Linked DNA regions of Nothobranchius furzeri. The protein of the gene in region 1 interacts with the protein of each later gene in a biochemical or structural test. Links are inferred from orthologs where the notes say so. Each region holds a gene or a part of one and is shown on either strand. Other genes may lie near its edges.

Region 1 (5,840 bases):
CCCCTGCATGATGGGACTCCTGGTCCACATCTCCGCCATGATGCAACCCGCTCCCCACAGGTCTATGGGGGGTCCGTAGTCCCGCTCACCTGAAGGACACAGAGCCAGGTTCTGTTAGAGGGTTCTTTGTTACAGAACGTTCCTTCAGAAGTCCAGAGAGGCTCATACCCAGCAGCAGCTCCGGAGGTCGGTACCAGAGCGTGACGACCCGGTTGGTGTAGCGGTTCCCCTGACTGTTCTTAGCCAGGCTGAAGGCCCGAGCCAAGCCAAAGTCCGCCAGCTTCAGGACGCCGTCTCTGGTGATGAGCACGTTGGCGGCCTTCATGTCTCGGTGCAGAATCTGAACCAGAACACACGATTTAGGACCGGGCCCACTTGAGACCGGGTCTTTAATGTTCTGCTTCTGATCGGTCTCACCTTGTTCCTGTGGATGTAGTACAGCCCGTTCAGCAGCATCTGCATCACCTTCTTGATCTCTGCCAGCGTGAATTTCACATTAGCGTTGCTCAGCAGCCCGGCCAGGTCGTGCTCGCAGAAGTCGAACACCAGGTAGATGCTGCCTTTGTACCGGTTGAACTGGGTCGCTGCAACAACAAAAACACTGGGTGTCACCTTCAGCTCCAGCAGCAGATGGTTCCTGCAGCTGAAGATCCGGCCTGAAGCCACTAACCTTTGGTTCTGCAGATCTCAATCAGGTTCACCACGTTCTCGTGTTTCAGCAGCTGCAGGATCTTGATCTCCCTCAGAGCTGTGATGGGGAACTGAAACGAAACGAAGACTGAGCGATGCTGGAGATGCGGTCCACGCGGTGATATTAATGAGACGACTCGGGTCATTTGTTTATGTTCATATTACTTTAACCAAAGTGAGCTGTAATCTAAGACAGCGGTGTCGTCCCTCTCATGTCTCCATCTGTGCATGAAAATGGTTCTCCACCTTCACACAGCTGATCATCAGTGGTGATCAATACATCTACCCAGCTGTTGAAGTTCTCCAGACTGAATGAAGGAGCCTCAGTGAAAGACTCCTGTCATGTCTGCACCACATATTTCTATCCTGAACTCAGATAAGAGCTCTCCAGCATTCACCCCACCACCTTCAAACCAGTGAGAAGTTCTAACGTGTTCTTCAGCTTCACCAGAGTCAAAATGATTGGGAGGTCAGGGGTTCGATTCCTGGACGGGTCATACCAAAGACTTTGAAAAAATGGGACCCAATGCCTCCCTGCTTGACACTCAGCATAGGGGTTGGATTGGGGGGTTAAACCACCAAATAGTTCCAGAGCGCGGCTTGTCTGCAGCTCACCGCTCCCGCAGGGGATGGGTCAAATGCGGAGAATAAATTTCGCACACACACCTGTGTGTGTGACAACTAATGGGACTTTAACTTTAGATGCTGTGAACCCCCCCCCCCCCCCCCCCCAATTGGTGGACTTCAGCCTGGCGAGGTCATCAGCTGGAGGAGTCAATGTGCTCTTCACGCCTCCCAAGATCTCCCTCCCACCTGTGACTGTACAGTAGATGAGCGCCTTATGGGCCATTCCCATCTGTACCGGGTCGGCCCGGGCCGGGTAGCGTAGGTTGTTTACATATCTGGGTGGCCTGGTATTTTTCCGGGCCAACCAAGGCTCATTCTCAGCCCTCTTCTCGAGGGGGTCTGCTTCAGGCCGACCAGGGCCAACACACCCACTGCTGACAGCAAATTCACACCTTCCATTAGAGCAAGCCTCTGATTGGTGGGTAGAATCAGCCCACATGGGCTTAAGGAAAGGGTGTGTGGAATCAACCGGGCCAGGCTGGGGCCGACTGGGGCTACCTGGCCCAGGCTGACCCGGTACAGATGGGAATGGCCCATCTGATGGCTGCTCTCGCTGGGGGAAGAAGGATCCCAGCCCCACCCCGCCTTCCTATTGGGAGTCTCATGTTGTGGACTGTTGATGTTCATGCTTATATGTCTGAGGTGTTTTTTTGCAGAGCAAAGCTGCCCTCCCTGTGGAGGGTAGCTCTGAAGTGCCTTTTTTCCCTCCACCTGAACCAATCCTCATGTAACCCTCTTATCTCTATTAAGGTAGCGCGACTCAGGGTTGCGAATGACCACAGTCACCAATTCTTGTCATGTGTCTTGCCCATGTGTGTCTGATCTCTGAATTGTGTGTACTGAAACTCTAATTTCCCTCTGGGATTAATAAAGTATCTTTGATTTGATCTCAGCTGTGATTTTAACCACAACAAGCAGCAACAGAAACTCAGATCTGTCTTGTTTCAGGCTCTCTTCAGGCTGCAGGAGAGCAGGGGCCACTCTGGGACGTGGATCAGGGATGCACCCATGACCGTACCAGTATCAGGTACTGCCCAGACACAACACAACCAATACCGACCACGTGGGTCCACTGTGGTGGACGTTAAACCCTGTTCACTTGTTCTAAGCTTTAGCGCACTCGAGTGGGGATCCAATTAGAGCCCTGCAATGGGACTGGTATCCCACGGGTCCCAATGCTAATCTCAGCAAGGCGAGCGACTGAGGACAAAACTGTGGGCACCACATTAACCTGCTAGAAGATGGAGAGTTCAACTGAGGTAGCTAACATGGAGAGGCGGGTTTGGACGCGGATGCTGTGAGAGCCGGTGGTGATGAAGAAATCAGCTCTAGTTCGAGCCTCTGAGGCCCAGGAACATCCAGCTGTTCAGACCCATATGATTGCCAGCTTCACACTTCAGATCATAACTGACGTAAAGTCTTTCAACATCTCTAAATGAGCTACCAGGTTCTCGTCTCTCACCCCTTCCTTTTCATTTTCCATCAGGACTTTCTTCAGAGCAACCTTCTTCTGCGTCTGCCGGTGCTTGGCTTTGAACACCTCCCTGAAAAGACACAAACACACGTTTATCCTGTTTTAGAACAAGGACTTAAATGTTATTGACAAGCGCAAACCCTAATTTCAGAGTAAACATTAGAAATCAGGATCAGTAACAGTCTTGATCCAGTTACCTGTAACCCCTTAAGGCAGGGGTACCCATGTTTTAGTTTTAACCACACCTGATTTTAATCAGCGGGTGATTAACAGGCTTCTGCAGAGCCTGATGAGCTGCTGTACAGTGATTTAACCACTAAAGCGTGTTGGAGCAGAGAAACCGCTAAAACATGCTTTATACCGGCCCGCCAGTGCCAGTTGGCACCCCGAATTAGGTCTTCCTGACGGTCCATCATGGTTTTTCTTTGGATCTTTACTGAGTTTCCGTCCCTGCTGCAACTAAAGACCCTGAAACAGAGCTAGCCCTCCTCTGTGTGCACAACACAGCCAGAACATGGCCGATGCTACATCAGCTAGCACCGCTAGCACAAACACAGACCCGTTCACTTTACCGCACAATGAAACGTCTCAAACACGTCTGTCTCACCCGAAGGTTCCCTGTCCTATCTTGGCCAGTTTCTCGTACTTGGAGAACTCGTCGCAGAAAGGAAACTCCACTCCGTCGTAATATTTGGACATTATGGCGGCCTCGCGGTCCGGCCTGGTGGGGACAAAGAGGTTAGACTGAATATCAGGAAACTTATAGACAGAAAAACCAAGACACACCACACAGACATACCCAAAAACTTAAATATAAAACATATATAACAAATGAGCGAATTCGTAGTTGGAAATCTTACTTTTCAGCCGCGCCAGCGCTGCTAGCTTTCTCCCGCTGCATGACTGCGTTGACGTTCGCCTTTCTTCTTCTTCTTCTGTTTAATGGAGGGTTGGAAACAAACCACAGAGGATATTCTGCCACCAACTGGACAGCAGATGTAACTACAAGTCCCCCAAGGACACGTTCAAAACCCAAAACTCACCCCCAAATCAACTTTTTCCACCCGAATAAACAGGCCCCGGTGTCGGTACAGGATCTGCTCGGGTGCAGAACCGGCTCGGGGTCCTTCGACTGCCGATGACGTCAAAGTAGTTGATTGGCTGAACATGAAGCTTACGGAAGTTACGTTATCACGTTTGATTTTAATTGGTCAGAACAAATTTGCGGTCGTAGTCTTAGCGGTTGTAGTCCTGTAGTCCAAAAATCAACACTTTTTGGAGAAAATATGTTTGAATTTCTAAAGGAAATGTAAAATATAAGCAAATGATAAACGGTGACCCTCAAAAGTTCTTGATGTTGATGAAATAGGGCAAAATAAAATATAAGAAGTTTACTGAAAGACACCAAGAAATATTTTGAGTCAAAGAATGTATTTAGATAACAACTAAGGAAATATACAGACGAAGTCCCCATTAATACAAACAGATATGGCTTCACATGTAAGAACTGTTCTATTTTTTGTCAGTCTGATGTTGGTTTTATGCAGTTTCACATTTTTTACAAAACAAAGATAATATGGTGTTTTATTAACAAATTAGAATTATAAAGAAAACATTTAGGTTGATTCTCCAAATCTGAGACCATGGTTCTCGACCGGGAAAGGGTGGCTTGCCAACTCCGGGTCGGGGGAGAGGTCCTACCTCAAGTGGAGGAGTTTAAGTATCTCGGGGGTCTTGTTCACGAGTGAGGGTAGGAGGGATCGGGAGATCGACAGGCGGATTGGTTTGGCGTCTGCAGTGATGCGGACGCTGAGCCGATCTGTCGTGGGGAAGAGGGAGCTGAGCCAGAAAGCCAGGCTCTCGATTTACCGGTCGATCTACGTCCCAATCCTCACCTATGGTCATGAGCTTTGGGTAATGACCAAAAGAACGAGATCGCGGATACAAGCGGCCGAAATGAGTTTCCTCCGTAGGGTGGCCGGGCTCAGCCTTAGAGATAGGGTGAGGAGCTCGGACATTCGGGAGGGACTCGGAGTAGAACCGCTGCTCCTCCGGATCGAAAGGAGTCAGTTGAGGTGGTTTGGGCATCTGGTCAGGATGCCTCCTGGACGCCTCCCCGGGGAGGTGTTTCGGGCATGTCCTGCCGGCAGAAGGTCCCCGGGTCGACCCAGGACACGTTGGAGAGGTTACATCTCCAATCTGGTCTGGGAACGCCTTGGGGTCCTGCCGGAGGAGCTGGTGGACAAGGCCGGGGAGAGGACGGCCTGGAGCTCCCTAGTTGGGATGCTGCCCCCGCGACCCGGACCCGGATAAGCGGAGGAAGACGACGACGACGACATTTAGGTGTTAACGAACAAGAATTTATTAACAAAACTGCTGATGTCTTTCCAAAACGTATGTGTGAAAGCCGAGTAGAGTTGCAGTCATGTGACAGAAGGTCCTAGCCAGGAGACGCTGATGGTGGATGCTAACGTAAAGCGTATATCCAGTGTCTTTATTTGTATTTACTTCTAGTTTTCTAAATGTGGCAAGGTGGAGAAACGAGGGCCCGGGTGGGATTTGATCCCCAGACTACCGGAAGTACCAAAAATTGCAGTTCCACCGTCATCCACTAGGGGCTGGTGTCAGAAGCGAGCAAATCCTCATTGACTCCCATGTTAAAAATACCAATTTCATAGCAGAAATAAACATGTTTACAGCCTGGTACCAAAACATGTTTTTGGTTTAAATGATCTAGTTTACACTCATGACAACTCTGAGGGGGGTGAATTTTTTTCTCACTCTTCTGTTTAAGTGTGTTAAAAGCCTAAAATTCTGTATAATTAATGAGCATCAGACCCACGTGACCACAGAGCTAGCTCCATGGAAAGGCCTCAGTAGAGCCTCGGTCTGGCCTGGAAACTGTTCCGGCATCTTGAGTCTCTGTTTGTTTTTTCTGTTTTGGATATTTTTTGTGCAATTGTTGGACAAAATGACTTGCTGTGGCATTAATTGCACTAATAGAGCGTCCAAGGAGTCTCCACTTCATTTTTTTCAGTAAGTAAAATTA
Region 2 (5,757 bases), on another chromosome or scaffold:
GACATGCGATGGCAGTGCTGCTCAGTGGTGTGGATCAGAGTCTGGTCCAGGTCCACCATGAGGACCAGCTTCTTGTTTCGATGGAGTCTCTGCTGGTCTTCTCTGGCCAGCTGCTTGGCTTGCTGTGCAAATTAATGCAAACAAAGGACAATGTAGGATAAAGTTCAACTACACACATGTATATATATAACCTCACATAATATTGGAGTGTTATTGGTTTAATGTTGTAATTTTCACAGATTTGCAGGCAAGTGAAATTTTCTAATAAAGCTATATGAAGCCACACACACACACACACACACTTCCATCATATAACTCACCTCAGAGCTGACCATCAGTTCAGGGACACTGTGAACCATGGAGACTGTTGCTGTGGAGATGGGAACTTGTTGCTTCCCGTTTGTTCCCTGGAGCCTACGATGGGATAGAGAGAGAGAGAGAGTAGGAGTTCTGCCCTCTGTGCATCTCTCAGACCCTTCAGCAGATTGTGACTGAAAGGATTTATTACAAACATGCAAATGCATGCATTCATGCCTGCAGCAGTTCAGCGTCCAGAGCCCCCAACGTGGACTCATTAAGCCACAAAAGCATGCCCTGACATTTTATCTCACTGCTGAGGTCTCTGTATTAAATACATGCAGCGTCACATTTTTCTGGTTTAGCTTTTGTTCTTGTTCTACCAGCAGCGTGTTTGAAAACAGTTGAGACTTTTATGATTTCATTATTTTGATTATTGATCGATTAGGTTTAATTGTAAATGAACCCCCCAAAATTTTAACTGGAAAACTCGGTTCACACACTTCCAACACACAGCTCGTGTCATCGCGAGATCTGGTTGTTCCGTCAGAATGAAGGTGGTACACACTGCTGCCACCTAGCAGTCGGAGTTTGAAATGCACCACACAAAATAAATAGTTAATGTTTGCATGTAAATTCTCAAAAAAAATCTATCCGTTGCTTTTAAATGGCAATTCAGTATCATAACATAATTTCCCCTCATATGTTGTTTTTATTACTCATTATTGTCTGATGAGGAAGAATGAACCCTTACCACCTGGGTGTTTGCTGTACCCAGCGTAGCAAAAGCCATGTATCAGATTATATGACGACTCGGTGTTGAGTCTTGTTTTTGGTTAAATATATGTAACATGCTAACCTTGCAGAAATTATATAAACATCCTTGAAATGCATCAAAGTCACCTAACATCCATGTGTGATCTCTGGTGCCACCCGCTGGCACCACACAGAACAACACCCAGTACCAAATAGGGCTGTCGCGGTTGAGGAATTCCTCCTGCGGTGATTCAGGGTGGCTTAATATTGCGGTGTGCGATATTATTGCAGCCCTTTTTTATTGCAGTACTATCTAAACATAATGTTTACACATTTAAAAAAGGTTAAAAATTGCCGTGCCTTCTTTAATAACACTTTACTGAATGCAGATCAAAGGGCAGTAACAACACAGATCGCAGTAACGTTTGTTTCTCCGACAGTCGGAGTCCGACTGAACTTAAAAACAACAAAATTCAGGAGAAGGTTAAACTTTTAAATGCAAATTTGGCTGCAGCATCTAACAAATAAGAAACAAGTCCCCATTTTGTTTAGTTGTTTAAAATCAAGCATAAAAAATTACATGTACCGGGCGCACGCGCGCGCGCCGGGGGGCGGGCGCACTATCATTTCACTTTCACACACACGAATGACGGTGCTTTATAGCTCGGCCACGTCCTTGTTACCTACAAGGAAAACCAGCATGTTAACTACGGTTTGAGAGAGGATCTGAGAGGGGTGGCAACATTTCCAGCAACACTGAAAACCCTCTCGGATGGTGCGCTCGTTGCGCTAACGCACACGTACTTGCGTGCGACTCTGGCGAGCAAAGGGAATCTCTCCCGGTTGTTGCTCCACCATGTCAGGGGGTTTCTTTAGGGTGGATGCATTCCTCCTGCAGGTAGCGAGTGAGCTCCAGCTCGGCTCCAACTCTCTTCGGGACGGTTGCAGAAGCAGTGCTTGTCCGGGACTTCAGCAGGTCTCCGAGCATTTATTTATTTATTTATTTTTGCCGCTGGTGGCAGCTCTGTCTCGGCCAAGGACTCTGGCTGCGCAGCAGCTGACGTACTGAAAACCAAAGTGCTCCCAAAGGAGCGAAGTAACGTTTCGTTTTGATACCAGTGCAGCCATCCTTCTCAACATGCATCATTGAGTTGAACCAAGTTCAGTAATCGCGGTGGCGCATGATGCAGCGCGGTGGGCTTCTTCATATCGCGATATTTCATTTTTGCGGTTACCGCGACAGCCCTAGTACCAAACACTGCTCTCGCTGCAACATGACATTTATTCAGCCTATTTTACCAACTTTTTTAAATGATCAGCATGTGTCCAACAATAACTAAACAGAAACAATGTCCATCCACATCTGGAACTGGGAAAGGAGGAGCAACAGCTGAAAACAAGTAGATTCTGAGTCAATGTGTCCTTACTGAGTAAGATCCTGGCCACACTCGGCGCACAAGCCCTTCATGACAATGGGATGGCTGCACTGTTCAATCCTGACGATGACACCACTAAAAAGACAGATGGTGAGAGAATAAAACAATTATTACAGCACCCACATGTTTATTAAACACGTATTTCAGCTATTGTGGCTCATATAGATGTTTGTCTCTATTTACACTATTACAAATAAATGGGCTACACACACACTGGTGCTGCTATGTAATTAGAATTAAATTAAATAAAGCTGATTCATCCAATGAAGGCAACACTTTTATTGTAGTACAATTAAGGCTGAGTTAAATCCTGATTAGTATCAAGCTGTCATGTTTGCAAATAAAAAAACAGCATGGTTTTTTTTTTGTTTGAAGTAGGATTTTACAAAATGCACCTGAAGGCCACAAGAATAGGCAATAATATAATTACATCACTTCAGGTTTATATCAGTAAATGAAGAGTGAGGTAATGATTTTCCTGTTTCCTGACTGTCTAAAACCTGAAAACGTCCCTGACAGCACTGTGCAAACGTGTTGTTTTCTTCCTATATTGATCTGATTGTTGACTCAAACACACCACAACACTGCCCAGCATGGTGGTGCTTTCAAAATAAAAGTATCGCCTGCTCTTCTTGAAAAACGCAGCTTTGAATTTACAGCAGCGGTGATCGCACACACTTTTATTTCCACACATGTTCCATAATATATTGGATAAATTCACAATACGACGTTTAAAACCAATTCTGAGACTGACGTATACGAACTTCCGCTCTTACTTCCAAGACAACTGTTGTTTTAGGGTTAACTTACTAGCAACAATGCTAATCAAGTTAGCCGTGTTAGCTACTGGCTAACTGACGTTCAAGCAGGGATGCTTTCAAAAAAGTATTTTCAAAACTTTTTTTTATTTGTTTGGCTGTAGATTTTCTTAGAAGGGGTGTGCTGTAGTAAACAGAGCGACTCACCCTGGAGGAATGATTTGTCCAACTTGACAACCTAGCTCCTTCACTACTCCAGAACGGTCTGATTTCACCTTCTTCTCGGGCAGCCTGGCAGCCCCCGTCCCCTTCTCCCGAGGCATGGGAGCACACAGTGCCAGCACAGAGTCCACGTTAACCAGAGATCCGGGCTTGACTTTCCACTCTAGAAGCCGCAGAGGGAGAGCCCCGCTGGGAGAGCACATATCTGCCACCTGCACTGCGGGGCCCTCCGCAGCAGCATCGCCGCCGCCGCCACCAGAATCAGCAGGAGGATCCTCCATCTGTCCTGCAGTCTCCAGAACCTCTTTCGTTTTCTGCACCAGTCCACTTTATACGTATCAAACCCACCTCGCGATGGCCAGTGTGTCAATGTAGCAAACGAATCACGTGTTTGATCAATAAAACAAATGTCCTGGAGATTTAAACACCGTGGCTGCTGTCTCGTTCGCTCTTCCCGCCCGTAAACAGGAAAGCGCAACACTGCAGCGACGCACGTCGCAAAGCTAGGGGTTTGCCGAAAAGTGTATCCCTGTCACACTGGTCAGGGAAAAGGTTTGAAAATAACATTTGAATGAAAGTTTGATGTCAATCAGGTTGTGTTGCATATTTTTTACATACGATTTTTAAAACACCACATTTTACGGGGAGTAATTTTAATTTTGTTTAGAAGTGAGATGATCGTATTTACACTGAAAAGCACACAGTAATAGAATCTTTGCAGATTTTGGACTGACGTCAAATCTTACGCTTCATGGCTAGGGTGCTTTTTTCGACATGACACCGGTAAGCAGGCGGACAGGAAGAACGGGACACTTTTCTACTTGCCCTTCAAATTAAAAGCGCTGATAAAATTCAATGGATCACACATTTGGTCTTCAAAACCGTGTATTACACTGGACTTTCAAACTTACTTCTGTGCACTTTATTCCAGTTTACAATTCAAAATGACAGAAAGTTGTGCGTGTTTACCAACTGTATAAAATAAGGACATGCACTCATATTGGACTCAGCGGATTCCACGATTTTATTTTTAAATAAGAAGACGAAAACGGAAGTGGGTGGGTGCGGTTTCTCTTGCACTCCAGTCTTCTGACCAAAAGTCATGCTAGTGTTAGCTGAAGAAGGTTCTCAGACTGCTGGCGACCTCTTTGACAAGAATTCACGGCTGTGAGCAGGGTGTTAATATTATCAGAGGGAAGCATGACATGGGGGACTTCTGGAGTGGTAAATAAACAAAAATCTGAATCTATGTCTAGATCGTTTTGGCAAAGATAGTCATTGATATTAACCTGTTGACTAACAGCTAACGATTATTAGCTATCATCAAGCTATGCAACTAGTAAAGCTAGATGTGCAAGTTGATAGTCATTTAATTCAACTTAATATATTTATTTATTCATATTTCACTGCATTAAAACATCTGTTGTTTGAAGTTCCATCTCAGTTTGGCAACTAAACAAAAACTGTCTCTTCGTTACTCTGAGCTCCTGATTGGTCCAGTACATCTGTGGTCCTCAAGGGTCTAAATGTGTGCCTGACGCAGTGGCGCTCCTAGAAAGTTTTCTTCGAGGGGAGCCAGTGCAAAATTTGAGATGGCACCAAATTTGTTCCTGTGGTAAATAATGGAGGATTTAAGCCTGATTCATGCTTCTCCATCAGCTCCAACAGGGAGAGACACGCACGGAGATGTTCTCCGTCTCCTGTGGAGCGTTGCAATGCACTTCCCCGCCAGGACAGCAGAGGGCGTAGCGCTGTTCTGTGGTATCCTGTCATGTATCGGTCCAAGATAGTGTGTTTATATTGTGTTTTTTGTATATAAGAGACTTTTTAACACGGACATATTTGTCTCTCATTCTCCTCCACCTCTTCATGCGCTCGCCACCTCGAAACCCACGTTTCCTGTCATTTCCATCCACAAATAAAACGCTTGCTGCGCATCTTTTCACTCCTCCAGTCACGGGGGATTAAACGTTCATATTTTTAGGTTTTTTTTTGCGAGGTATTCTTCAAGCTGCTCCGCTTCTGCCGCTCGGCTCTCTTTATGTTTTTGAGGGCGCAGTGGCGGCGGTGTAGACAACAGCGGCGTCCTGACCAATCACAAGCTTGCGTTGTCCGTCTCGACGGATGGATGTTTAGAAAAGAGAGCTAGACTCTGTCCGTCCTTGCGGAGCTCTCCGGCAGGCCCGCGAGGACGGATAATGGTGTTGCGTGTCTCCGCTCTGACGGAGAAGCATGAATCAGGCTTTAGCCTGTAGCTGCGCATTGCTCTGTGCCTTCAATTTCTCTCA

What was found. The genes of interacting proteins can lie anywhere in the genome.
Region 2: of the proteins of cdk9 (region 1) and ctdp1, one has a biochemical effect on the other in vitro, tested with the Homo sapiens proteins (3 studies listed by BioGRID). The link is inferred for Nothobranchius furzeri from reciprocal best matches to the Homo sapiens genes CDK9 and CTDP1.

Annotation. Positions count from the first base shown.
Region 1 is NC_091742.1:88,948,525-88,954,364, forward strand, and holds the start of cdk9 (cyclin-dependent kinase 9), read right to left. Parts: upstream 3,797-5,840; 5' UTR 3,693-3,796; coding exon 3,652-3,692; intron 3,513-3,651; coding exon 3,399-3,512; intron 2,862-3,398; coding exon 2,780-2,861; intron 762-2,779; coding exon 671-761; intron 585-670; coding exon 418-584; intron 341-417; coding exon 169-340; intron 90-168; coding exon 1-89. UniProt on the Homo sapiens protein: Protein kinase involved in the regulation of transcription.
Region 2 is NC_091751.1:1,631,005-1,636,761, reverse strand, and holds the start of ctdp1 (RNA polymerase II subunit A C-terminal domain phosphatase), read right to left. Parts: upstream 3,960-5,757; 5' UTR 3,751-3,959; coding exon 3,455-3,750; intron 2,565-3,454; coding exon 2,481-2,564; intron 415-2,480; coding exon 321-414; intron 123-320; coding exon 1-122. Other genes in the region: adck5 (uncharacterized aarF domain-containing protein kinase 5), read left to right, coding at 4,670-4,693. UniProt on the Homo sapiens protein: Processively dephosphorylates 'Ser-2' and 'Ser-5' of the heptad repeats YSPTSPS in the C-terminal domain of the largest RNA polymerase II subunit. This promotes the activity of RNA polymerase II.